7 linked regions of the Ovis aries genome follow. The protein of the gene in region 1 interacts with the protein of each later gene in a biochemical or structural test. Links are inferred from orthologs where the notes say so. Each region holds a gene or a part of one and is shown in the gene's direction. Other genes may lie near its edges.

What was found.
Region 2: the proteins of UBE2E1 (region 1) and TRIM32 form a complex in vitro, tested with the Homo sapiens proteins (2 studies listed by BioGRID). The link is inferred for Ovis aries from reciprocal best matches to the Homo sapiens genes UBE2E1 and TRIM32.
Region 3: the proteins of UBE2E1 (region 1) and TRIM23 form a complex in vitro, tested with the Homo sapiens proteins (4 studies listed by BioGRID, with this or other methods). The link is inferred for Ovis aries from reciprocal best matches to the Homo sapiens genes UBE2E1 and TRIM23.
Region 4: the proteins of UBE2E1 (region 1) and UBR7 form a complex in vitro, tested with the Homo sapiens proteins (2 studies listed by BioGRID). The link is inferred for Ovis aries from reciprocal best matches to the Homo sapiens genes UBE2E1 and UBR7.
Region 5: the proteins of UBE2E1 (region 1) and UBR5 form a complex in vitro, tested with the Homo sapiens proteins (2 studies listed by BioGRID). The link is inferred for Ovis aries from reciprocal best matches to the Homo sapiens genes UBE2E1 and UBR5.
Region 6: the proteins of UBE2E1 (region 1) and IPO11 form a complex in vitro, tested with the Homo sapiens proteins (2 studies listed by BioGRID). The link is inferred for Ovis aries from reciprocal best matches to the Homo sapiens genes UBE2E1 and IPO11.
Region 7: of the proteins of UBE2E1 (region 1) and UBA1, one has a biochemical effect on the other in vitro, tested with the Homo sapiens proteins (9 studies listed by BioGRID, with this or other methods). The link is inferred for Ovis aries from reciprocal best matches to the Homo sapiens genes UBE2E1 and UBA1.

The regions. Positions count from the first base shown.
Region 1 is NC_056079.1:41,469,256-41,473,197, reverse strand, and holds the start of UBE2E1 (ubiquitin-conjugating enzyme E2 E1), read left to right. Parts: upstream 1-1,142; 5' UTR 1,143-1,305; intron 1,306-2,200; 5' UTR 2,201-2,233; coding exon 2,234-2,385; intron 2,386-3,942. UniProt on the Homo sapiens protein: Accepts ubiquitin from the E1 complex and catalyzes its covalent attachment to other proteins. Catalyzes the covalent attachment of ISG15 to other proteins. Mediates the selective degradation of short-lived and abnormal proteins.
Region 2 is NC_056055.1:7,072,622-7,076,775, reverse strand, and holds the start of TRIM32 (E3 ubiquitin-protein ligase TRIM32), read left to right. Parts: upstream 1-1,354; 5' UTR 1,355-1,403; exon of another isoform or gene 1,404-1,558; intron 1,559-1,597; exon of another isoform or gene 1,598-1,709; intron 1,710-1,720; exon of another isoform or gene 1,721-3,735; intron 3,736-4,154. UniProt on the Homo sapiens protein: E3 ubiquitin ligase that plays a role in various biological processes including neural stem cell differentiation, innate immunity, inflammatory resonse and autophagy.
Region 3 is NC_056069.1:14,078,188-14,081,687, forward strand, and holds part of TRIM23 (E3 ubiquitin-protein ligase TRIM23), read left to right. Parts: intron 1-1,071; coding exon 1,072-1,196; intron 1,197-3,500.
Region 4 is NC_056071.1:55,650,637-55,654,683, forward strand, and holds the start of UBR7 (putative E3 ubiquitin-protein ligase UBR7), read left to right. Parts: upstream 1-1,247; 5' UTR 1,248-1,302; coding exon 1,303-1,452; intron 1,453-3,338; coding exon 3,339-3,472; intron 3,473-4,047. Other genes in the region: EKC/KEOPS complex subunit GON7, read right to left, coding at 841-1,048. UniProt on the Homo sapiens protein: E3 ubiquitin-protein ligase which is a component of the N-end rule pathway. Recognizes and binds to proteins bearing specific N-terminal residues that are destabilizing according to the N-end rule, leading to their ubiquitination and subsequent degradation.
Region 5 is NC_056062.1:74,932,615-74,936,624, forward strand, and holds the start of UBR5 (E3 ubiquitin-protein ligase UBR5), read left to right. Parts: upstream 1-1,210; 5' UTR 1,211-1,730; coding exon 1,731-1,792; intron 1,793-4,010. UniProt on the Homo sapiens protein: E3 ubiquitin-protein ligase involved in different protein quality control pathways in the cytoplasm and nucleus. Mainly acts as a ubiquitin chain elongator that extends pre-ubiquitinated substrates.
Region 6 is NC_056069.1:17,077,668-17,081,167, reverse strand, and holds part of IPO11 (importin-11), read left to right. Parts: coding exon 1-19; intron 20-1,686; coding exon 1,687-1,879; intron 1,880-2,775; coding exon 2,776-2,928; intron 2,929-3,500. UniProt on the Homo sapiens protein: Functions in nuclear protein import as nuclear transport receptor. Serves as receptor for nuclear localization signals (NLS) in cargo substrates.
Region 7 is NC_056080.1:57,606,877-57,609,604, reverse strand, and holds part of UBA1 (ubiquitin-like modifier-activating enzyme 1), read left to right. Parts: intron 1-64; coding exon 65-260; intron 261-983; coding exon 984-1,058; intron 1,059-1,177; coding exon 1,178-1,367; intron 1,368-2,511; coding exon 2,512-2,600; intron 2,601-2,728. UniProt on the Homo sapiens protein: Catalyzes the first step in ubiquitin conjugation to mark cellular proteins for degradation through the ubiquitin-proteasome system.

The DNA.
Region 1 (3,942 bases):
AAGTTGGAGTTTCCTGTTGAGGGCTCGGAGGGGTTTAGGTGGGTGGTAAGAACGCTTGTTTTCCTGGTTAGCGGATACGCCTCGGGCTTTATAAATTGTGTTGTACTGTGGTAACTGCAGCCACACTGCTGCCATGGGAAAGGACGGCAATTTGGATGAGATAATTCAGTGGCCCATGGAAATCTGACTGGACAGTGGCTTAATGTACTACACTTCCTACCTGTAACATCATACCTATTTCTTCAATTTCCTTCAATTGAAATGAGGAATAAATGTGAAACATAATCAATTTGATGGCTTGAAAAAAGTAATCTTGTTAAGAATACTAAATGAACAATTCAGAATTAGAGGGACTTTTAGAAAAATTGTATGATTATTTGAATGGCGTTTGTATTGTAGCTGAAGAATGTACAGCGGTCCCCCAAACTTTTAATCCAAATTCTGACACCAAAAATTCTAAATCCAGTCTAATGCAGTAGTACAGAGTGTATTCCCATTGATTTCTCACATTCGTGAGACTGTCACACGTTGGTTGGTTTTTTCTGTCACGAAATTCTTTGTATCACTTTTAGAAAACACCACCTCTGTCTATAAAAATGACTGGAAATACCTAAAATTGTAAAACGGCACGTGTCTGGGCAGAAAAGTCCCGTTCCTCACAGGCGAGCCTGCACCTACTTCTGCTCCTAGCAGGTAAACCGTCAGAGGGAGAAGCCAGGTCAGCCCATAGGAAAGCCTGTCGTGGGATTTCTCATTTCCCCTTAGGCTGATCACTTTTAGGAGCAGTTCCCGGGGCCATTCTCTCGTCCAAAGTCCTGGCTACCGGATCACCTGTTGTTTTTTTTTTTAAACCAGTCGGCCACCCTCGAGTCTCCCTGGCAAAAGCCCCTCGCGGGAGGACTTCCTCAGGTCACCTCCCCACTCGGAGCAGTTCTCGGCACCCGCACCCACTCCCAGCGCGGGCGGGGGCGGGGGCGGGGTCCCCAGGCCACGCGAGACCTCGGCCCCCCGCCCGGCGCCCGAGGTGCTGAGGTGCGCGCTGGGGGGAGGGCGCGCGTGCGGGGGGAGGGGCGCGGGGCGGGGCCTGCGCGGGCGGGGGCGGGGCCTGCGCGGGGCGGGGCCTGCGCGGGGCGGGGCGGGGCGCGGGCGAGCGTGTGTGGCGGGGGAAGCCATTGCCTGTTTAATAGTTGCTGCTGCTGCACTTCCGCTTCTCTCCCGGCGAGAGAGAGACACGAGTGGCCAGGCCCAGCCGCAGCCGCAGCAGCAGCCGCCGCGGCGGCACGGAGCAGCCAGACACAAAGAGAGGTACGGGGATCCCCCGCGCCGCCCGCCGGCCCCCGGCCGCGCCGCCGGGCCTCGGGGCCGCCCCTAGCCGCCCGGGCGGCCGCCGGGCGCGGGGCCGGGGCTGGGGGACGGCGGGGGGCCGGGCCCGCCCGCGGGGGGATGGGCGGGGACCCCGGGCCGCGTGGGGCGCGAGGGCCGCCCGCGGCGGGGGCGGGGGGGGGCTGCCGGGGCTCGAACTGTCAGCGCGGCCACGGGGGGCTCCCGGGGCCGCCGAGGCCCGTGGAGGGGGAGGGGAGGGGCGCCCCGTGTCCCCGAGGCGGGGGCCCGCGGGGCTAGCTCCCCAGGGCGGCCGCGCTCATTGTTACCCCTCCGCCGGGGAGGCCCCGTACCCCGACCCCGGCGGCGCCCTTGCCAGTGCTGGGACCCCCGCCCGGCCGCGCCCCCGGGGGCCGGCCCGGGACTGGGGGGGGGGGGCCTGGCCTCGGCGCCCCCGCCCGCCGCCCGGCTCCCCACCACCCACCGGCGCCCGCTCCCCGTCCCCGTCCCCCCTTTCGGCTTCCTCCCTCGCCCCTCCCCGGCCTCCCCGCCCCGCCGAACTCCGTTCCCGGCCCCCGCGACCCCCGGGGGCCGCCGCACACCAATCGAGGCCGGCCGGCCCGGCCCCCGCCCGGAGGGGAGCCTCGAGGGCGGCGGAGGGGCGGCGCGCCGCGCTCCCGGCCGGTCCCCACCGCGGCCCCCACTCGGGGCCAGGAATATAGACAAACAGCCCGCGTCCGACTCGCAGAGGCCGTGATGGGCCTGGAGATTCGGGAAAGCGCGTGGAGGGCGGGGGGGCGGCCGGGGCCCGAGCCCTCCTGACAGCGCCCGAGTTCCGTGTCTACACCGGCCTTTCTGTTTTGTCTCCCTCCTCCTGCAGGGGCTGTTTGCGGGGTGGGGCGGGGGGTTCGCTATGTCGGATGACGATTCGAGGGCCAGCACCAGCTCCTCCTCGTCTTCGTCCTCCAACCAGCAAACTGAGAAAGAAGCAAACACCCCCAAGAAGAAGGAGAGCAAAGTCAGCATGAGCAAAAACTCCAAACTCCTCTCCACCAGCGCCAAGAGGTACCCAAACCCCACCCCCGCCCCCCAAAGCAGGCTTCCTATTGCCCGCACGGCCTCCGGTTGCATTGGGTCCGCTTCCAGTGAGGGTAGCTTACACGCTCCTCAGGGCTTATGTGTTCATAAAAAGGGAAAAAAGGACCTTGAAAGCCCGAATTATTTCTCTCTCTTGCTGCTTCTGTTTTTACTTCTGATCATTGTCTCCATGCAGCTGTTGTGGCTTGCCTTCCCCGTATCTTGCTGCAGTTTGTAAGAATCCGCATGAGTGTTACTAGTGACCTCCAAATCTGATTTCAAATTATTTGTCCTGTTAATCACTAATCTGTGACCCTCCCCAAGACTGTCATCCCACTTAATTATTAATACCTGCCCGGACAGCTCTATCACGACGATTTCTATCTCTGTCTTACTGCCTTCTCACCTGTTGCACATAGGATCTCTCTTTGAATAGTGCTTTCTCCACACATGGCGTAAGGAATAACTAACTCACGTTAGCAGAGTGAAAAATTTAATAGATGGAGATGGATGTTTTCAGATGGGATTTAAAGAGATTTTTCTGATTTAGAGAGTTGAGGCAAATTAATGAGTCAATAAGTGATGTAAATTAGTTATTCTAGGCTGTTTTGGGGATTCTTTGTGTTTTTTTGAGAACCTCCACTTAAATTTCCGGGAAGCTCAAATTTTTTTTCATGCTGTTTTCTTTTATGCTGTAAACAAAACAAAAACACTTTTGTCAACACAAGTTGAATTCAAGCAGTAGCTCTTTTTCTTTTTTCTCTCCCTCTTATGTCTCTGATAGAAGTTACTTTTAATCTCCATCATCCTTCAGTAGTATCCTCTGATCCTCACGAGCCTTAGTCTACAGCAGATTCCTTGGAGCCTCCATTCCTTTTCATAAATCCGGTTGTCCAGTGTACAGTCATTAAACTTTAAAGTGGCAAACCAGGAAGATAATAAGGAATTGAAATGGTAGCTTAGGTAAAGATGTCTGTCTTAAAAGATCGTTAAAAAAATGGAACAGGAGGCTTTAAGTCTCTCCACTGAGTAGTGAGCCAAAACTTTTAGTTAGAAAGTTTGTCCTGTCATTTTCCCTGAAATTTGGAAAGTTGATAAAATGCTTTGGTGACCTAAGCACAGGAGATGAAGAAAAGACTCTGGCTTACTGTAAACAGTGTATATGTGTAGAGTTACGTGGCAAGGTGCCTTGGCAAGATTCTCATTTTCAGCGAGGTTGTTTGATCGCATCTCAGCTTCCCAGGAGTCCTGAGCGGCCCTCCGCTATCAGCCCTGTGCTGGTTCTCCCCAAGCCTGGCATCTCCCCTGCCTGCTTTGGATGGACCCTTCTCTTCATTCCCCCTCCCTTTTTCTGGGCTCTCTGATCCAAGCTGAGGGCAGCTTTTGGCCTGACCTAAGGCAGAATATTTGCGTTAGTTCATTAGCACTTTTATATTTTGCTGGATTACCCTAGTGTCCAGGAATATATTTGGGGATAAAGGCACAGGTGTCAAATATAAAATTGTCTGCTTTATGTAAGCAAATTAGAGACAGTTTTTTTTCTTC
Region 2 (4,154 bases), on another chromosome or scaffold:
CAGCAAATGTCATTTTCACTTAGAAATAAAGAATTGGGCAGAGAGATTAATCATGGTTAAGAGGCAGGGTTCTCAGAATCAGGTTCCAATCTAGGCTTTATGCTTATGAGTATGGGGCCGTGTTATTTTAATCACCTGGGCATCAGTTGTTTACCTCACAGGGTCACTGGGAAGATTAAGTGAACTGTGCATGTGAAGGGTTTGACGGCAGCACAACACTTAGGTTATTGTTTGTGGTTGTTGCTTTCTCATTGTGAAGAGTCACTTTACCTACCCTGGATGTCAAATCCAAGCCCATCCTCCTTCCAACCTCTTCCTATTCCTAAGCCATACTGTATAGTCACCCACAGGAACCTGTGGTGGTAGTAGTAGTGGTTACTTGCTAAGTCGTGTCTGACTCTTGCAACCCCATGGACTGTAGCCTACCAGGCTCCTCTGTCCCTGAGATTTCCCAGGCTAGAATACTGGAGTGGGTTGCCGTTTCCTCTCCAGGGGATTCTCCAGGGGATCCTCCAAATCCAGGGATTGAACCTGTCTCTCCTGCATGGCAGGGGGAGTTTTTACCGCTGAGCTGCCGGGGATTATAGCTGACCCCAAACTATCCAGGGGCTACAGGTCCTCACCAGCCAACAGGCTAGACTGTTTCTCACCTGTGAAGACTCTTCCCTTTTCTGGCTGCCCAAAAACTAGACTTGGGTTTAGGCTCCTGGGAAGCTTCAATCTGCAGGGATAGATTGCAGAGAGTGTTCCTACCTCTACTTCCCCTGTCGGCCTCCCAGCTGAGCAGGAGTAGGAATCCTTCATAAAGGCAATTTGCTCATCAGATAAGCTTATCTCTAGGCTGCACTGTGTCACTGGGAGAAGAGCCCAGAAGCACTATGGTTCTAAGCGCAGCCAGGTTCTGTGCTTGCCCCAGAGTGAATGTGTGAACGTTGTAGTCTTTCCTTGGCCCATTTCTCAGATGGCAAAGCTGAGGTGGAGAGAGGTCTTTCTGAGAGATGCCAAGGCTTGGTTGAGGACCACTCCTGGCAGCTTCGGTTTAGCGAAGGGGTTGACACAGACTGCACTCAGACACACGAGTTCCGGTTTAGCTCCCGACTTTCTGAGTGAACTTGGGCCTCGGTTTCTTCAACCGTACAACGGGGACAGAAAGCTGAAATGCGTGTCCTCAAGACACCTAGCTCCTTGCGGCTGATTAGCTCACCGCTACCTGGTCGTTGGGCCGCGAGCTCGGGTCCGCCCGCCTACAACCCCCAGCATGCCTTGGGGTGGGCGGGGCGCAGTGACGGACAGGCAGCTCTACGAATTGGCGCCCGCAAAAAGGGCTAACGTTGGCGCGTGCGCAGAGGGCGGTGGGCCGGTGGGCTGGCAGCGGCGGACGCGTCGGAGCCGCGGGCGGTCAGGTAGGGGGCGGGATGGAGGGTGGGGGATGCGGGACCGCGGCCGGAGTCGCGGGCGGTGGCCGAGCGGCGCGACGGTGGGCTGTGACGGCGTGCAGCGGTCGGTCCACGCCAGAATGGCAGAGCCTGGGGGACCGGATCTGAGGGGCAGGACCGTGGTGGGTGTATGTGGGGAGGGGCGCCGGGGGTGGGTTGCTAGATGCAGGTTCGGGGCGAACTCGAGGGGGCTGAGGGCCTCGGAGGAGATGCAGCCCAGGAGGGGAGCGAGGGGCTCCGAGATTCGCGGTGCAGCATCTCGGGAGGTATGAGGTAATGTGGGGCCCTGAGGGGAGACGGGTGCAGCATCTGAGAGATGGGAGGGGACCCAAGGGCTCTGGAGGGATCAGGGGTGCAGAATCTCGGCAGTATGAAGGGACTGGGGAGCCTCGATGAGATTCGGGGTGCAGAATCTCAGGTGATTTGAGAGAGTCTGGGGGCAGTAGGCTTTGAGCGGGGTGAGATCTGAGATCAGAGGGAGCAGAGCCCGGGGCTAGTCTAATTGCCGAGGAGGAAGCGTTTTTTCCCCGAGTGGAATCTGAGGAAGATCGACGGGCTGAATTCTTGACGGGATCAGTGAGAAGCAAGATCTCTTAAGCAGGAAGAAGACACTTGCCTGAGGTTTGAAGCGACACATGACATGGGTGGGGAAAAGAGGAAGGAGCAAGGTTTGGGGGTGGGGGTGTGAAGGGGGGCAGGGTCCCTGATGGCACCCAGAGGGTGGGGGCTCAGACTGAGGGAGAGCACAGATCTGAGGTGTGGGATGGGGCGTTTAACTGCGATACAGGGCTGAAGGCTGCAGCGACTTGGAAAGAGATGAAAGGATCTTTGTCTGGGGGATTCTGGTACGCATGAGGGAGGAGTTGGTGGGGGTTGCAATGAAGAGCCCCCAAGGCTGGGATTCTTAGGAGACTTGAGAACAAGATTTAGCAAGGGTGGAACGGTGGGGTGGAGAGGTACTGGTTGGTCTGTAGAATTAAGAGACTGAATAGAGTTACAGATGGGTGTCTTGGATTGCGAAAGGAATTTTCCTGAAGTCTCTGCATAGGAAGCAAAGGGAGTTCTGGGGACCCAAAGACCTAGAAGCAATCTATGGAACTATATGAGTGTGCGAAGTTTTGCAGAGTTCAGGGATTCAGCAAGAAAGTCGTCACTCTTTGCCATCAGGACTCCTGATGGAACCTGAGTTTCCCTGCAAGGGGCAGAATCTCCCTCACCTGTTAACCAGACATCCCTCATCATGTGGCTCAGCCGGTAAAGAATCTACCTGCAGTGTGGGAGGTCTGGGTTCCATCCCTGGGTTTGGAAGATCCCCTGGAGAAGGGAAAGGCTGCCTACTCCAGCACTGTGTCCTGGAGAATTTCATGGACTGTATAGTCGATGGGGTCGCAAAGAGTTGGACATGACTGAGTGACTTTCACTTCACCTCATCATGAAGCAGCCTTGGTGTGACTACTCATTCCACTCTGAACGTGGACCCACTGAAAATGGTTGGCTTCAGAGAAAAAGAGAATGGCCAGTCACAAAGCAGGAGACTACTCAAGGTCATCTGCCCAAGCTCCTCTTGGTGTGTCCCTCCAAGCTGTGGTGACAGAGAGTGTGTGAGAGCTCCAGGGTATGAGTGGAACGTGAGGTCAGGTCTTATCTTCCTTAGCAGTTATATAAGTAGATAGAATGAATTCTACAGAAGGTGCATAACAGTGGCTCTGTGAATGAGGTGTTTGAACTGGGAGACAAGAACAAGGGATAGCAGATGCATTGAGTATTTAGTCCTGTGCCAAGTTCTAAAGAAATGGTTCCTAACTGGCAGTGGTTTTGTCCCCCAGGGGGCATTCGACAATGTCTGGACACATTCTTGGTTGTCACTTTTGGGGTGTGGAGTACTACTGGCCCCTAATAGGTAGACACCAGGAATACTATTAAACATATTACAGTGCACTGAACAGCCTCCACAACAAAAGCAGTATCTGGCCCAAAATGTCAACAGTGCCAAAGCTGAGGCACTCTGCTCTAGAGTCACATATCCTGGATTCAGATCTTGGCTCAATCTCTTCCTGATTGTGTGATCTTGAGTGAGTTACTTAAACTCTTGGCTCTTCATCTGTAAAACAGGTTTAGTAACAGGACCTATGTCATAGATTACTGTGATGGTAATCTATAATGAAGTAAATTAGAATGCTTAGTGTCTGGTGCATAGTAAGTGCACACTGATTTAGTAGTTTTTAACTTTCATATCTGCTTTCTTTACTCAATTTTCATAACGGCCCTACTAAGCAAGCTACAGTATTCAGTTTTACATGTAAGTAAACTAAGGCTAAGGCAGTGACTTGTCTAAGGTTCCATAGCTAGAGAGGGCAAAAGTAGGCTCATATTCAGATCTCTGTAACCTGGTATATTCTCTCTTTCCTTGCTTTTTCTTTGCTGGGACCTGCTCACTCTTTCATGAAAGGACTGCCCAGTCTGTATCACTATCAAATTGAACTCTAAAGGGAGTAAGTCCATCTGACTAGGTAGGGAGTAGCCCTGGACTTTGTTCTTGATTTGCTCTTAGACCAGGACCCATGGGTACATAAGGGGAGGAGCTTATCGTTGGCAGACAGGATGAGGTGCAAGAAACTAGAGGATGAGGTACAGAGGCCATTGGCTAGAAAAATCACTTCATAGCAGGGGCCGCCGAGGCTGATGGCACCCCTACTTTGGAAAGTAACTCCTGTTCTG
Region 3 (3,500 bases), on another chromosome or scaffold:
CATTTATCCCATTATAACCTCTCAATAGCTCCACTCCTTTATTTCCATTCACAATTAGTTATCATTAGCAGAAGAACCCATAGTGGTTTGATTTTAACCAAACTGTTATGTGACATACATTCCACTTAGCATTTATTCACATAAATGAATTGTACATTTTGCCTCCTGTACCCCAGCATAAAGCTTATATTCATACTCTCTGTTCCATATATCAAGCTGTTTTCCACCTAGAAGAAAGACTAGATAATTTTTACTTTGAAATTTTTGATATTAGGTTAGTATGAGCCAGTGATTAAGGGGAAAAAATGGAATTTTGAACATGAGGAATGGTTGAAAGCCTAGGATGTTTAGCTGCCATTAGATAGCTGGAAAGGAGTTGACTCATTGGAAAAGACTCTGATGCTGGGAGGGATTGGGGGCAGTAGGAGAAGGGGACGACTGAGGATGGGATGGCTGGATGGCATCACGGACTCGATGGATGTGAGTCTGAGTGAACTCCGGAAGATGGTGATGGACAGGGAGGCCTGGCGTGCTGCGATTCATGGGGTTGCAAAGAGTCGGACACGACTGAGCGACTGAACTGAACTGAACTGAACTGAACTCATGAAGTTTCTGCTGTGTATTTTGAGTAAAGTTATGGAAAGTGCTGTGCCAGGCACCTAAAGAGAATACCTTGGAGAGATAAAGTTGGTAACTTATTTATTTTTAAAAGACTATCTTTTGGTAAAGGAAGTAGAGTGATCAAAGTAATCAAAGAAGTAGCATCAGTAGGTAGATCATGAGAGGTACATTTTCATTCATTAAGAGAAAAATATTAAATTGTATGCAAGGCAATATGTGTTTGGTAGTGCAAATGTTGTAAATCCTGTTATAGATGGCAAAAAAATAGACCAAAAGTTAGGTGAACTGCTTGAGATCATATCATTAATTATTGCTAGATGCTCCTATAACAGGCAGCCTTCCTGTGAAAATAATGATGGTAGACTCACCATAATATAACATTAAAATATTTAGCCCACTTACTGAAATTAAACAAATGACTAAATGAATATTTTTGTCTTTTTTTGATAGCTGTTGTATTTGTTGTTGATAGCAGTCATAGAGACAGAGTTAGTGAAGCACACAGTGAACTCGCAAAGTTGTTAACAGAAAAAGAACTCCGAGATGCTTTACTCCTGATTTTTGCTAACAAACAGGTAATACATTTGTATTTCAGAATATTTATTTTAGCATTCCACATTATAAGGTAACTGTTAAGATTTTGAGAGAAATAACTCAGTAGATATAAAGTTTCTGCACTGTATTTTGAATGCAGTCTATATGGAAGGTGCCATACTTGGTACCTTGGAGTATACAGAAAGAAATAAGGTAGAAACTTGTATGTATTTAGGTTTGCATGTTAAGTGTTTATTTCTAATACTGCTAAGTGCAGATTAATAAGACTGCTAAGTGACTTCAGTGATATTAATATAAAGTATTATGGAAAATTATAGAGTAGTTCTAAAGGTTGTATTTTCTAAGATTTATAAAAAGTAGGATTTGAATTGAAATTATAGATAATACTTTGAGTTAGTATTTGAAGGAAAGAACACTACAGACAGAAAAAATAAAAACATGAGTATTTTTAGAGAGCATCATGGAGACCAATATGCCAGCAAATTTGAAAAATTCAGCAGTGTCCACAGGACTGGAAAGGTCAGTTTTCATTCCAGTCCCAAAAAAGGTTATGCCAAAGAATGTTCAAACTACTGTATGGTTGTACTCATTTCACATGCTAGCAAGGTAATGCTGAAAATCCTTCAGGCCAGGCTTCAACAGTATGTAAATCGAGAACTTCCACATGTACAAGTAGGATCTAGAAAAGGCAGAGGAACCAGAGATCAAATTGCCAACATCCATTGGATCATAGAAAAAAAGGAAAAGAATTCCAGAAAAATATCTCCTTCAGTTTCACTGACTATGCTAAAGCCTTTGCTGTGGGAATCATAGCAAACTGTGAAAATTCTTAAAAAGCTGGGAATACCAGACCACCTTACTTGTCTCCTGAGAAACCTGTATCAGGACAAAAACAGTTAGAACCAGACATGGAACAACAGACTGGTTCCAGATTGGAAAAGGAGTACGCCAAGCTGTATGTTGTCACATCATGCGAAATGCCGGGCTGGATGACTCACAGACTGGAATCAAGATTGATGGGAGAAATATCAACAACCTCAGATATGCAATAGCAGATATGCAGATGACACCACTGTAATGGCAGAAAGCAAAGAGGAACTAAAGAGCTTTTGATGAAGGTGAAAGAGAAGAGTGAAAAAGCTGGTTTAAAACTCAACATTCAAAAAACTAAGATCATCACTTCATGGCAAATAGGGAAAAAGTGCAAACAGTGACAAATTTTATTTTCTTGGGCTCCAGAATTACTGCGGACAATAACTCCAGCCACAAAATTAAAAGATGCTTGCTCCTTGGAAGAAAAGCTATGACAAACCTAGATGACTTATTAAAAAGCAGGGATAGCACTTTCCTAACAAAGGTCCATATAGTCAAAGCTATGATTTTTTCAGTAGTCATGTGCAGATGTGAGAGTTGGACCATAAAGAATGCTGGGCGCTGAAGAACTGATACTTTCGAACCGTGGCAGCTGAAGATTCTTAGATTTTGAGACAGCTTCTAGGAGGATAAGAATGCTTTTTTTTTAATGCAATAAAGTGGCTTAGATGTCATAAGAAGGAAGAGTTGGATAGACGGTAAGGATTTTCCCCTTAATTTGAAAAAAAGGCAAGCTATTAAGAGCTGATACACTTCACATTATGATTAAAGATATGCAAATAAGGCAGAGTGAAATACCATTTTCCACTTATCATCTTGTTAAAGATGAAAATGTTTGATAATCCTAGGCAGGATACACTGCTGGTGTGGTTATTAATGTGAGACATTTTCTTGGAGGGCAATATGGCAGTACTTTGTCAAAGGTTTCGATGCATATACCCTTTTACCCTGTAAATCTCTAGTAATGTATTCTGAAGACAGTTACCCTAAGGTTGTCTTAGAGATAATTTTGCAAGTGTATGTATTTAAAAATATGTTTACATCCATGTGTATGTATATGTAATAGCACATAAGCACATATTTTCAATTTAAATATTCAGTATAAGACTGGTTAAGAAAATTATGTTACACCTGTTGCTGCTGCGGCTACTAAGTCGCTTCAGTCATGTCCGACTCTGTGCGACCCCATAGACGGCAGCCCACCAGGCTCTGCCGTCCCTGGGATTCTCCAGGCAAGAAACTGGAGTGGGTTGCCATTTCCTTCTCCAATGCATGAAAGTGAAGTCGCTCAGTCGTGCCCGACTGTTAGCGATCCCATGGACTGCAGCCTACCAGGCTCCTCCGTCCATGGGATTTTCCAGGCAAGAGTACTGAAGTGGGGTGCCATTGCCCTCTCTGATGTTACACCTACAGTGGAATGCAATATAGAAGTTAAAAATACTGGTGGAAAG
Region 4 (4,047 bases), on another chromosome or scaffold:
GACTCACTGGAAAAGACTGATGCTAGGAAAGATTGAGGGCAGATGGAGAAGGGGGAGACAAAGGATGAGATGGCTGGATGGCACTGCAGTTTAAATGTACCTGAATTTGAGCAAGCTCTGGGAGACAGAGAAGGACAGAGGAGCCTGGTGTGCTACAGTCCATGGAGTTGCAGAGTTGGACACAACTGAGCGACTGAACCTCAACAACAACAATAGGGGAAGTAAGCCCTGATTCCAATATTTAGTTCTTAGGTTCTTCAGCTCAGGGTATTCAAGACAAGACTTAAGAATACAGTTAAAATTTCCATTTCTGCTTTCAAACTGCACCTACCACACTGGGAAATGAAAGGAGTCCCTGACAGTGAAGCCTTGTTCATCTGAAATCTATTCCAATCTTCAGAACCTGTTTCTATTCTGTAATAGATGGCGGTCTTCCAAACATATTTGTAAGTTCACGCCTGGGAAAATTCCTTTCCATCCTTCTAAGCCCAGCTTAGAAGTCATGCTCTTTCTGAAGCCTTCTTGGGTTCTCTAGGTTTGCAATAGTTACAAAGAAGCCTAGGGTCATTCCTTCTACTCTTTAATAAGAATGTTTGTCTGTCTAACCTCCCACAGAGTTCCACAAGAACAGGAACTGAGTCGCATTCACGTCATTCTTTCTCCAGAGTTCAGCCCAGTGACTGGCACAGGGCCGTAGGCGTTCAGTACGTTTTTTGTGTGACATAAATGAAAAGAGAATCGTCAAAAGCAGTCCTGCTAAACGAGTCCAGGTACAGCCCAAATTTCTCCGGGCGCCCCTGCCCGCCCTCCTGTCACTCGCTGAACCGTCTCAAAGCTCACCGTCCAAGGCCTCGTCGGGAGCCGCCGTCCCCCGGTCCTGTGCTTCCGGCTGTACCTGAGAGCCGAAGAGCTCAGTCACCAGCTCCCTCATCTGAGCCACACCGGACAACAAGCTCTGGAAAGGGTCGGTGACGCCCGGCGCCTCACAAGGCACCCGCAGCTGCTGTCGCTGCCCTTCCAGTCCGACGTACTCGCCCAACAGCTCCATAGCGACCGCTACGCTTCAGGAGCGCGCCACAGTGAGTCGCCACCGGAAACGGAAACCAGCCCGCCGCGGGCGCAGGCGCGGAGAAGGGAGAGGCCTGACTTCCGTTTGTCGGAAGTCGCTCCTCCCCCTTCCTTCGCTCCCTGTCTTTGGGATTGGTGTCTGGCACCGAGGCCCCGCCTCCTCCGGCCCCGCCCCTCGCGGACGCTTTTCCCGCCTCCGCCGGGGCCGGTCGGCGGTCCTGGTGACAGTTGAGGATGGCTGGAGCTGAGGAGCCAGCTGGGCGACAGTCGGAGTTGGAGCCCGTGGTATCGTTGGTCGATGTACTGGAGGAGGACGAGGAGCTGGAGAATGAGGCTTGCGCCGTCCTGGGCGGCAGTGACTCGGAGAAGTGCTCCTACTCGCAGGTGGGCGCGCGGCTCGGCCCTCGCCTCCGCTGAACCTCCCTTTCCCCACCGCCTTACCCTCTCTCTTCCCGCCGGCCGCGGCCGGCCCCCTGTGGTGGTCCAGCGCAGCTGTTGGTCGTAGGCTTCCCCATCCCAGGCCCAGGTGCCCTTTTACACTTAGTCTTCTGAGCCCCTTCTAACCTGTGGCCAGCAGGACGCCCCTCCTTTCTCGATTTTCCTCTGTCAGGCCCCCGACGTTTCTACGGTTTTGGCCCCAGAGCAGCTGCTCTTTCCTTCCTTCCTCGTCTCTTCTCTGTGCCCCGGCCGCTTTTCACCAAACCAACCCCGTGACCTTTCACATCCTGAGTATCTTTGTCCATACTTTTCCCATCCTCAGAGTATTTGCTGGGTACTAAACGGAAGAGTCAAATAATTAAAGGAGAGAGCTCTGGGTTTGAAAATCTCTCCGCGTAGGCTGGACTCCTGGACAGCTGGTTCCTCTGCAGTTTAGTTTGACAGGTGCTAGCTGGTTTTTTTTTTTGGCGAGAGGAAGCAAGTACCACGTCTCTCTGCAGTCGGCCCTCCAGGGGCATAGACCGGAACCCGAACAGCTGGTGGCACTGGCAAAGGAAAGGAGGGGAGGAGAGATGGCATTCGGAAGATGGTGGGAACAAGGACTGGAGGGGGTGTGACGTAGTGTTTGGTGACTCATTCTATGTTTCTAGGTTCAAAAATGGAGAAAGGTGGTAGAAGAAAACTAATGAGAGATGGTACTTGATAGGAAGAAGGTTATCTTCCAGGCAGGTGGAGTGGAACATTGCAGGATGGGGAGAGAGACATGGGGTCTTTACGTGGTGTTGCTTGAGATCACAATACCAGTTGTTATCAATGACCAGTTGAGTTTACACTGCAAAGTGGTTAGATTTTTTTTTTTTTAATACACCTGGCTTCAGAGGTATTTAATGTTGGCTGATATTTTAAAACCTTTGGTCGCCACTGGAACAACTTTTTCTCTGTTTGCCTTTTTTAAAAAAGCCTGTAAGTTATTTTTGAAACGTAGTTAGATTTTTAAAACAGACTTCCTTAAAAAATTTTTTTGTATTGTTGTAAAATATGTGGAAAAGTGCAGAAACCATGTATAAGTCTTGGGAAAGCAAAACTGAAAACACCTGCAGGTACATACCACACAGATCAAGAAATAGAACATTACCAGCATCACAGAAGCTTTCCTGGGACTCCCTTCTTCTCAGAAGATGGCAGCCATTATCAGGATTTGCTTTTCTCTCGACTTTTTATTTTGAAATGTTTAAAGTCTACAGTTAAAATGAAAAAATAATATTATGAACACCTGTGTACCTTCACATATATTCACTTTTTAATATTTTACCACATTTGTTTTATCTTTTACTTCTTCACTGTAATATACTTTGTTTTTGTTTCCTGAACCAGTTGAAAATAAATTTCAGACCATGACACTTCAACTCTAAATATGTCAGCATACATCTTAAAATCAAAGGGATTCATTTAATGCACTGGTTTTCTCTTTGGTGGAATCACAAGCATTTTCCAAAATTAAAGTATGATTATTCCTTACATAAGCTTACACACATTCTCCTGTATTTTCATGTGTTAAAATAGTTAAGCAGACCGGTTTATTCACAGCTGACTAAAAATGTTAACTTCTATCACTTTGAGAAAAAGTTATATGAAACGTGTATGAAACCTGCAACAGTGTTTTGGTATTCTATTGTATATGCTTTTTTATTAGTCTCAGTGGCTTTTACAGGAAGATCTTGACCCCAGATCATCTGATTTCAGTTATTTCTCAGATCATAGTGTGGGCATTAGGTTGCTCTGCCAGTGTTTCATCAGTTTCCGGTCTTTTTCCATTTTGGGGCTGTCTTTAGGGTTCAGTAAAGAGACAAGCACTGTATGCCTGCAGTACCTGCACTCCAGAGGGAGAAGAACCGGCAGGAATTTGCCTGGCTTGCAGTTACGAATGTCATGGAAGTCATAAACTATTTGAGCTGTACACGAAAAGGTAAACTGGTCAGAGATTGATGCTGGATGCTTTTCAAATGTTTAGATTCTTTTCCAGTTGCACTTTTTTTCTTAATCATGTTTTTGCATTCAAAGTAGTTGTGCCCTGGTAAAATTTAATGCAACTGTTTTATATAATGTAATCGGAAAGAACAGTTTTTCCAGGGGACCTTTTAAAATATAATTATGAGGCAAACTCAGACTACTCCTGCTATCCTTCCACTGTTTTATGTGTGTGTGTGAGATACAGATATTTGTCTTTATGCATGTTAATTTCTTGGAGAAGGAAATGGCAATCCACTCCAGTATTCTTATCTGGAGAATTCCATGGACAGGGGAGCCTGGTGGGCTACGGTCCGTGGGATCACAAAGAGTCAGACATGACTGGGCACACAGCACACACATGTTAATTTATAGAATTATTAAATCTTTTATTGTAATATGCTTGGGAAAATTGCGGATTGGATACATGAACAACAACCAAGTCCAATTTTTAGATCCTAGAAGCTAATTGAAAGGGAAGAGGCTATGATATGAATGTAGTCTTTAGACTTAGAAGAAAAATTAAAATTGGCT
Region 5 (4,010 bases), on another chromosome or scaffold:
CCCCACGAATTTCTAATAGAGGCTTTGAAATCACTTTTTAGTCTAATCTGGGCCATTTTGGAGCTGGTGACCTACAAAAGTGTTCCATTATCTGTCTCAAGGGGTACCTACTCTATCCTGATTTATAAATAGTCATATATTTTGTTCAAAAGAACTTCTAAGCAAGTGCGTATGTGTAATGCAGTAACAGAAGAAAAGTGATATTTAAAATTAAGAACGTTTCACAGGACCCTTAATTTAACGGAACATACTGGAGAAAGAGGCTTCGTGTTTTCACTTTTTTTTTCTTGAAAGAAGTACTTGATTTTTTTGAAGGGGCCAGAGAAGCCTTTGAGAAAAAAATCTATTAACTGGTTCCCTAGAAAAAGGCAGATCTATTTAAGAATTAGCCCTTATGATCCCACTGATCATAAGCTGAAGAACGAAACATCTTCGATGAAACTGATATTTCATCTTTCATTTAAAAGAATTAAAAATTCATGAGTCATTTAAATCAGGAAATCGGTGGAAATTTCCACATTTTGTCTTTGTGTGGATACGTGATGGTGGCGGTTGCGTGGGGGTGGGGGGTGGGATTGGGGAAATCAGGGTGATAAAAAGAAGTTGCTGCAAAGTCAGCTCTATAATCCTACGATTGGACCTTCTGGAAAGGCCCTTACATAACTACCTTACTTCTCCAATAAAACGCTGTCCGTTTCTTGCCCCTTAACAGATTTCTACACTTCCACTTTAAATATAACTGCGGATGTGAAGGACGAGAAACAACAACAGAAAACCCCTAAGGGTCCGCAAAATAATTAGGGCTGCCCCAAGAGAAATCAGAGCGCGAGACTGGAGGAGCCCCTGTTCCCTCCCACCACCACCGCGCCGGGGACACACACTTAGCCTCTCTCCCGGACTCCCCGCCCCAGCCGGCTCGCCCCTCCGCCTCATCTGTCCCGAACACGTGCTCTCCGGAACACTCACTCGGGAGCGAGCCCACCCCCCCGGGGGGGGGCCGGGCTCGGGAGCCGAACGGCCCAATCGGCGCGCGCCTTACAGCGCCGTGGCTGAGCCGCCCAATCGGCAGGGCCTCGCCGCCCGTTTCCCGGAGCCCCGCCCCCTCGCGGCCGTGCCCCACGCCCGCCGGTCTCCTCCCTCCTCCTCCTCCTCCCGTTCGCCCCTCCCCCTCCGCTCGGGAGCGGAGCCTGCGAGACGGAGAAACTGGGGCAGAAGTGAAGATGGCGGCGGCGGTGCTGGTGGTGGCGGCGGCGGCTTCTTCTCGCCAGTGACGCGCCGAGCGGGCTCATTTCCCTCCCCACCTCCCTAGTCCGGACCCCGTCCGCCGCCGGGACCACACACCGGCCCCACAGCCCGCAGCCCGTCCCCCTCCCCTCCTCAGTCGGGCCCCTCTCTCCCGACGTCCGGCTGCCGGTGGCGGCGGCAGCGGCGGCGCGCCCCGGGTCCCGGCCGCCGGCCTCGCACTCCTGCGCCCTGTCGCTGAGGGAGCGGGGTGGCGTGTTGATCCGCCCTCCTGCCCGCCCCGCCGGACCGCCGCGCCTCGGACACACGCCCGGCAGGGAGGCGGCGGCGGCGGCGGCGGCGGCCCCTGCGCATTTGCTTCTCTCATTTGGGGACCGGGAGGCGGCGGCGGCTGTGGCTGTGGGTTTTGACGAGGGGAAGGGGTTCGGGGGTGGGGGGAGCCGAGCGGGAGGGGGCCGTCCTCGAGAGGACGACGAGAAGGAAGCACCATGACGTCCATCCATTTCGTGGTTCACCCGCTGCCGGGCACCGAGGACCAGCTCAATGACAGGTAATAGGGCCGGCGGGCGGGCCGGCCGGCGGGCGGCGGGGGGAGGGGCGCCTCCCCGCCCTCCCCTCCCCCACGGGGCCGCGCCGGACCGGCGGCCGGTGGGGAGGGCGGGGGTCCTCACTGCCCCCCGGCTAGGCCCCTTCCGGGGCAAACTTCTGGTCCCAAGGACCGGGGCCGCGGGGTCGGGGGGGTGTGGGGGGAAGCGAGCTGTGGACGGGGAAGAGCACTGCACCCTCTAACGCCCCCTGGTCCCCCCGCCTCCACGGAGGAGCCGCGTTCAACTCGGTGGGGGCGGCGGGTGGGTATCCAGCTCCCGGTGCGGGGAGCTTCATCACCGCCCGGGCCAGGCCCGAGGAATCCATATTAGTCAAAGTTGAATTGAGACAGACAATGCGGATGGGGGATGGTGGAGGCTGAAAAAAAAAAAAAAGAGGGAAGCGGAGGAGCCGGGCGAGGGGCCCCGGGGTAGGCTGGGTTCGCCCGGGCTCCCGGGAGCTGTGTCCGGTGGGGTGGTCGGACCGGCGGGGGCCTGGGGCTCCTGGGGGAAGGGGAGGCGGGGCGGGGTGGGGTCGGGGGACCTGGGTGGGAGAAGCTGATTCCCTGCAGATCGCGGGTGGGGTGGCGGGAGGGAGGAAGCGCCATGATTATTGTTATTATTATTAAATTTGAGCCCCTGCAGTGAGGTTTGCCGGTCCGGGGAGGGGATGAATTTAGGCGAGGGTGGGGGGCGGGGAGGGAAGTGGATTGGGTTCCCTTTGCTCTGTTTTCTCTGGAAACGGTGCTGGCAGCTCCTGTTTCCCAGTCCCTGTGGTGCGAGCTTTTTTGTTTCCTTTTTTTATTCTAATGATAGTGTTTTCCTGAGTTGTAATTTGACAGCTGAAAACCGTGCGTAGAGTCAAAGGAAAACTCTTACGTTTGCAGTTCGCAGTGCTGCTTTTCTTAACACGCTGTAAATTTCTGGGATGGGTTTTGCTATGGGCGGAGGAGGCATTATGATTTTTTTTTTTTGGTCTTTCATAAGGAGGCTGTTTTGACTCCGGATTCCTCCCCTTCCCTCCTCCACCGTTCCCTGCCAGTTTAGGATATTGAATTGCAAGGCCGCATGCTCTCAGGGAACTGAGATAAAGCAGGAAAAGTTCCTTCACTGTTGCAAAACAGAGATTCCGAAAAGGTTGAGGGAAACCTCCATTAGGCAAGGCTGAGAATCTAGGACTCAGATCGAATGATGGGCTAAATGTTTTACAGGGTCAGAAAGTGGGGCATTTGAAGTTTCTATACCAACACTTTCGCTGCTCTCTCTTCCTCATAAATATAGAAGGCCGTCAGGGCCCACGTTTAGAAGTTAGATATGATTTTTGTTAAGTGACCGGGTGACATAAATTGCATGAAGCCCTGTTTGTCATGCACTTCCCTGAGGGAGGAGGAGGCCTAACTTCTGCTGATATACCGGCCTCTGTTTCGGGGAATCTAACTGCCTCAGGTGGGGCGGACAGCCTTTCAATCCGGGAAGCTGGAGGCTTGGTTTCTGGCATTGGGTTCGGATTTGTCTAATCTTTGCTGTTGTAGCCATATTGTATTTCACATGTTTGTAGAACTTTTGGAATACTTTCTCAAAATACTAATCATTTGGAGTGGTCACATAGTTCTTTTAAGTACGAAAATAAGTTTTAAGTCATTTATTTTATAATGCAGTCTTACTCCGATTTTATTTCATTACATATCTTTTGTTAAGACTTTTACATAAGGTTTTTTTTTGGGGGGGGGGGTAAATTTTAGAACCAGGCTAGTAGTGAGGATAGCTGTACTGTCTGTCATTCATAGAATCCAGTTGGCCGTGCTTGTGGGGGAACTTGTTACATTGCACCAGAAGAGACATACACGGTGTATTTTTTATACTAGTCCTAACTTTATATACCAGGAATCCTAACTAATTTACTCAATTGATCATGCATGCCAAAACCTATTTTGCGGTTTTGTTAGGCACTTTGAATAATTTTTGAGCATTCTTTTTTCAGCTAGTCTAGAAATTTACATGTATCCTTTTTAAAGCTACCTTTTCTTTTTTCATTCTTGGTGTAAACAAATAATCAGCTTTGACTCCTGTACTCTCAGTATACAATATTGAGACTATTTGGATCATTTTCAGTTTTCATGAGAAATAAAGACAGGTGGTTTCGAAAATGAGACTGTAAAATATGTGCATCAAGAATGTAGTAGA
Region 6 (3,500 bases), on another chromosome or scaffold:
CATTCTTTTTACTAAAGTGGTAAGTTTTTTTTTTTTAATCTTAATTATGTTTTCTCAAGTGAAATATAGATACTTGAATTTAGTAAAGAAAGTGATGTTTTTTAAGCATACATTTTTGATTTAGTGTTAAAGTAACTTATTTTCTTACTGTGTACAGGAAAGCTAAAAAAGCCCTTTGTATCTTAAAGCCTTTAGAATACATATAATGGTTAAATTTATATATACCATATGTCAAAGTGTATAAGTCACCTGGATATAAAAAAATCCATCCTAATAAAAGAGAATTTGATTCCTCAAAGTCTCATTATTCTCAAACCCACTGGAAAAAGCAGAGGTAAAAAAGATAGTGCAGCACAGCATAAAGTAGGTAAGATGTTACAGTAGATAATACCAAAAAATCAGTATATTCATAATGATAGTTTATCATCATTAATATCACATATCTTTTGAATAGAATTGTATGGGTGCACTGTCTGAGGCAATATGTATATATTTCAGATAAAATTATTTTATAAAAAAAATAATAGACAGTCAAATCCACAACATGGAAAACTCTACAGGAAATGATCTGTTACCTCAACGATGTGGTCACATCAGGCCTCATTCTCCCATAAAAAGTTCCCATTTCGACAATAAAAAGTTCGCATGTTTTAAAAAAAAAGAATCGACACTATTGAATCCTTATTCAACTACAAGAAATTTGTGAGGGAACTTTCCTGGTGGTTCAGTGGTTAAGAATCCCTTCCAATGTAGAAGATGGGGGTTCAATCCTTGGTTGGAGAAGTAAGATCCCATATGCCACATGGCATGGCCAATTAAAAAAGTAATAATTTATGAAGTTCATGTTTATAATCTCATGACTTTATTAAAGCTTTTAAAATTGGAACATTTTATATGTGCCTCCAAATAGAATGTGTTAACATATTCCTTTGTTTCTAAATCCCTTCTCCTCCCATATTTCTTAGAAATTTCTAGTTAGAGAAGAAACTTGATCACATTCAGGCCTTTCTTCTTGTTTTAATGATGGGAGGGAATGGAGTAGGGTGACAATGACAGGAATATTTTACAGGTGATGCTGTGTATTTCCTATTGCATCGCACCAGGAGATGCACAATGTCTGATTGCTCAAAGTTGTTTATTGAGTTATCCATTATTCAGTTCTTCAACAGCCTTTCCCTTGATTCTAGCAGCCATCGATGATCATGGCTTAGATCTTTTGTTTGAATAGGGGTTACAAAATGATGGCATTCTACTTCTATTAATATTATTCCTTTTACATTTATTAGCTGGAATTCTTCTATATAGAGGAAATCTCTCTCATCAACTATTTGATACATTGACATGCAATTGATGCAGGATACATTTTTGATTATTTGCCTTTATTATTTTTTAAAGGCCTTTCTTGTACTTTTGGTTATCACATTTGCTGGTTGATATAGAATTAAGTATGAAGTAAGTTTATTTTGAATCTTGTAGTAGAAGTAAGAGAAAGTTCAGGTGATGAGATACAATCTGATTTATTTCACATTGTATGGTATACCCCAGGGAGTATATTACCTGTGAAACTGGACTTCCCACAAGGTTCCAAACTTGCTAAGTGTTTGTTACCAGTTATTACATGTACCTATGAATGATTATATTCCTATGTGAATTTGAAGAAAATATATAAAAATTTTTTTCTTATAGCTTTTGGACTTCTTGGATCAGCATCCCTTTTCATTTACTCCTCTAATTCAGAGATCACTGGAATTTTCTGTAAGCTATGTGTTTACAGAAGTTGGTGAAGGTGTTACATTTGAACGATTCATTGTCCAGTGCATGAATCTTATTAAGATGATTGTCAAAAATTATGCTTATAAGCCATCTAAAAATTTTGAAGGTAATGCTTTACTGGTAGTTTTATTTTTTTCATTTCCTTGTTTTAATCTTAGTGTGAAGTAATTGCTATTTTTATGTAAGTTTTTTGAAGTTCATTTAAGTCTGAGAAATAAACTATTGCTGGGACATGAAATAGAGATAAGGATTAGAGCTTTTGGTATATAAATACCAGCTTTTAAAAGACATACAGTGCATTTAGTAAACTACTGTCTTTTGTAACACAGTGGAACATCAATTGAAGCCTAGGTCTTTTAAGAATTAAGTACTTCAGTAACCTCTGTAGCTCATTTGTAGACTGTATTTATTTGTACAATTAAAAGTTTTCTTTTGATCATATATAAAGTGATTCTAGGCAGATTCTATTGCTTCTAGAATAGGTTAAACTGTTATATTGCAGTTGACCCTTGAACAGCACAGGGGTTAATGAGTATAACTTATAGCTGGCCACTATAAGTGAATATGGATTCACTGTTCCTGTGCATCTGGGGATTCATCTAACCGTGTACACTGTAGTTTAGTATTTACTGTTGAAAAATATCTGAGTGTAAATGGACTCACAAAGTTCAGGGGTCAGTTCTGTTTGGAATTCATTCATGTGTATGTTTATCATGATGAATGAGAATGTCGTGTAGAAGAGAAAGAGAGACATATAGGTAAGCCACTGCAGAATATGATGTGATGATATAGGATGGAAATGGACTAGCCATAGTGCTAAGGTAGAAGCAAGACTGATGTGTGTGTGGTATCAGTAAAAGCAAGAGCATCTTTGAGATGTGTCCATAGTACAAATGAAAATATACTGCTATTTAGAAGGTATTCTTAAGTTTATTTGTTTCACTATCCAGCATGGGTAGAATACTTGTCTGTATAATTAACTTGGAAATTTAATTTTTCTAGATAGCAACCCTGCAACTCTGGAAGCTCATAAGATTAAGATGGCATTCTTCACATATCCTACTTTGACAGAGATATGTAGAAGATTAGTCTCTCACTATTTTCTGTTAACTGAAGAAGAACTGACAATGTGGGAAGAAGACCCGGAAGGCTTTAGTAAGTGTCAGTTTTTCAGTGTTTGCATGAATTTTTCCTCCCTTTCATCAATAGATATCATGTATTTGATGATAGGTATAATAACATTGTATTTTAATGTAGTGCTTTTGTTCTGAGAATATAACTTCCAAAAGTTAGTTTATTCTGTCTTTACTAGCCATTAGTACAAATTGAGAAGCAGAAAATGAATGACTTGTTCAACTAAACGGAATTTTTTCCAGAAAGATAAAATTTTTTAGAGTTATATAGTTTAAAACAAAAATATGAAATTAATTGTCTTTCTCTGTTATCAGATCACTTTCTCCTCTGTGGTTCATTCTTTATTAATTTTTATTTGTAGAAATTTTTACTTCAGAAAGTAGTTTGGAGATGAAAATTTTTCTGAATTGCTGAATGGATTACCTATTTAAGATATTTTAATTTAAAATTAATTTTTAGATGATTAAAATATTTCTATAGGACATGTATTTAAAATATAATTTTATTTTTAAATTTATTTTACTTTTGGTGGGCTTTTCTCTAGTTGCGGAGCGTGGGCTTCTTACTGGGGAGGCTTCTCTTGTGGAGCCTGG
Region 7 (2,728 bases), on another chromosome or scaffold:
GGAGCCCACTCCTGAGGCCGCTGTGTAATCCTACCCCTTTGACCCCCCCCCCAATTCCTGATAGAGACTCCAAGTTTGTGGAGCGGACCTTGCGACTGGCGGGCACCCAACCCCTGGAGGTGCTGGAGGCTGTGCAGCGCAGTCTCGTGCTGCAGCGGCCACAGACCTGGGCTGACTGTGTGACCTGGGCCTGCCACCACTGGCACACGCAGTACTCTAACAACATCCGGCAGCTGCTACACAACTTCCCTCCTGATCAGGTAACGCCCACTTGCCAGGTCCATTTGGCAGAATGTGTTTTTTCCATAAGGGGAGCCTGCTGTGAGTTCTCTGGCTCCTCCTGGAGATTAGTCCAGCTGTGGCATATGCCCCAAGGTGTGGGGAGTCTCAGAAAAATGATTAAACTTGACCTATTTTTGCCATCCCCTTTCTTTGCAGCAAGAGACTTTCATTTTTGTTTCCCTTACCTGTGGGGTGGGCTGACTCATCCACCTCCTAGGACTGTAGCGATCATAGAGGAGAAATCTTGGAGTTAAGAGCTCAGGAAATCAGCGGGGGTTCAACTCCAAGCACCATTTGCACTTGGGCAAGTCACATAGCTTCTCTGTATACTTCAGTTTCATTGTCAGTAAAGTAGAGGTGGTAATAATTACCTCATGAGGGTTCTTGTGAGGATTTCTTAGTGTTTGTTAATATTAACTCAGTATAGTACCTGACAGTTCAAAGAGTTTGTTAAGCTGTGTCTTGCACAGAGTGAGTGCCAGGAGTTCTTTCAGCAACACCCCTAGTTCACCCTGGCATCAGAACTTCCATTCACAGGACCCTTACTGTCTGGGTTGTTCATGATTGACTCCATCCCCTGCCATGCGTGCCCAGCCAGGGCTAGTGAATAGGGCACACCCAAGGGCCAGGTGAGAAGTTAGGATTGCTGGAGAGGCTCCAGTTTTAGATCCTACTCCTCAAAAATCTCTCCACTTCTTTAGCTCACAAGCTCAGGAGCTCCATTCTGGTCTGGGCCCAAACGCTGTCCACACCCACTCACCTTTGATGTCAGCAATGTAAGTCTCCTCCTTGGGGTCTCCTAGGGTCAGGTGGAGAGTGGGTGGGAGGGAAGGAGGCCAAGACTCCCCAGGTGAGGGCAGATGTGCTCACCCTTCTGGGCCCTGCCTTCTCCCAGCCCCTTCATCTGGACTACGTGATAGCTGCTGCCAACCTGTTCGCCCAGACATACGGGCTGACAGGCTCTCAGGACCGAGCTGCTGTGGCCATGCTCCTACAGTCCGTGCAGGTCCCCGAGTTCACCCCCAAGTCTGGAGTCAAGATCCATGTCTCTGACCAGGAGCTGCAGAGCGCCAATGCCTCTGTGGGTGAGGATGTTTGGCCCCTCTGCCAGGAGTTACTGCCCCACTGGTCCTCTGCCCAGTGCAGCCTCCTCACCAGTTCTCTGCCCCGGCACTACTGTGCAACCCTGTCCTGAGACTTCCTTCTTGATCTGTTTATCTGGAAGGTGTGATTTCCACCAGTGGTCTTGCTCCTTTGGTATCTGCTCCCATCCTCTCACCCCATGTTCTTCCGTGTGTGTCTTCTCTGTGATGTTACCCTCCACATAGTTTTCCTCATCCCCTTCTTCATATTTCCACCCCAGTTGCCCATCTCTCTCCCCCAGCTCATGCTCTTTATCGGGTGAAGGGCCAAGCAGTTGACTCTTTTAGCCCATGTAGTGTCTGCAGCTAATGATCTCTGCAGTTGAAGCCCAAAAGCAGCCATACACGATGAATGAATGTGGCTGTTTTTATTTTCTCCCATGTCTCCCATCTTCTTCCCAGATATCTACCCCCTCATGATCCTCTCTGTATATTTTTTCTGCTTCTGCATTTCACCCATATTTCCTTCATCTTTTCCCTCATATACATGTACATGTATTTGTATAAAACATACATTACAGGTACATGTAAAATGTGTATAAACATTTTGTGTGTGTGTGTGTAATATACATGCAGACAGAGTGTATATAGAGTATATATAGGGTGTATACAGTCTTCTCACCTATCTCACCCTCTATATATGCCCCATTCTCTACTTTTTTGTATCTTCTGTCCTCCCATCTTAACCACATCTGCACACTTCTCCCAACTACCTCTCTGTATATCTTCCCCTGCCCTTTTCCCCTGTATCCTCCATGTCTCCCCACCTCTTTGCATCATTCTCCCTGAGATCTACTGCTCTCCCATCCTTATCTGTCCATCCCCACTTTCTCCTAATGTCTTTGTTTCGTTTCTTTAGTCTCTCTTGCCTCTCTTGATATTCCACACTGCACCCTTCCCGCCCCAATCTTCTTCAGGTTTGTACTCTGTTGTCCTGCACTGTTTCTTGCCATTGTCCCTCGTCTCTCCCAGGATGTCTTTCCTTTTCAAATCCTTTGTCTCCCTAAACACCTTTTGCCCCCCTTGTTTCTACCTCAGACCCTGGCCTTGGGTCTAAAGCGTTGATGGTGTCCCTTTCTCCCTGCAGATGACAGCCGTCTGGAAGAACTCAAGGCCACACTGCCCAGTCCTGAAAAGCTCCCTGGGTTCAAGATGTACCCTATCGACTTTGAGAAGGTGCTGGGTGGGGGCCCCAGCAGGCAGTGGGGATGGGATAAGCATAGGTGGGCTGGACAGAACAGGCTTCTAAGGATCGGGAGGCAGCCCCAGGCCTTTGTGGGATTGGATCATGGGCCTGCTACGCG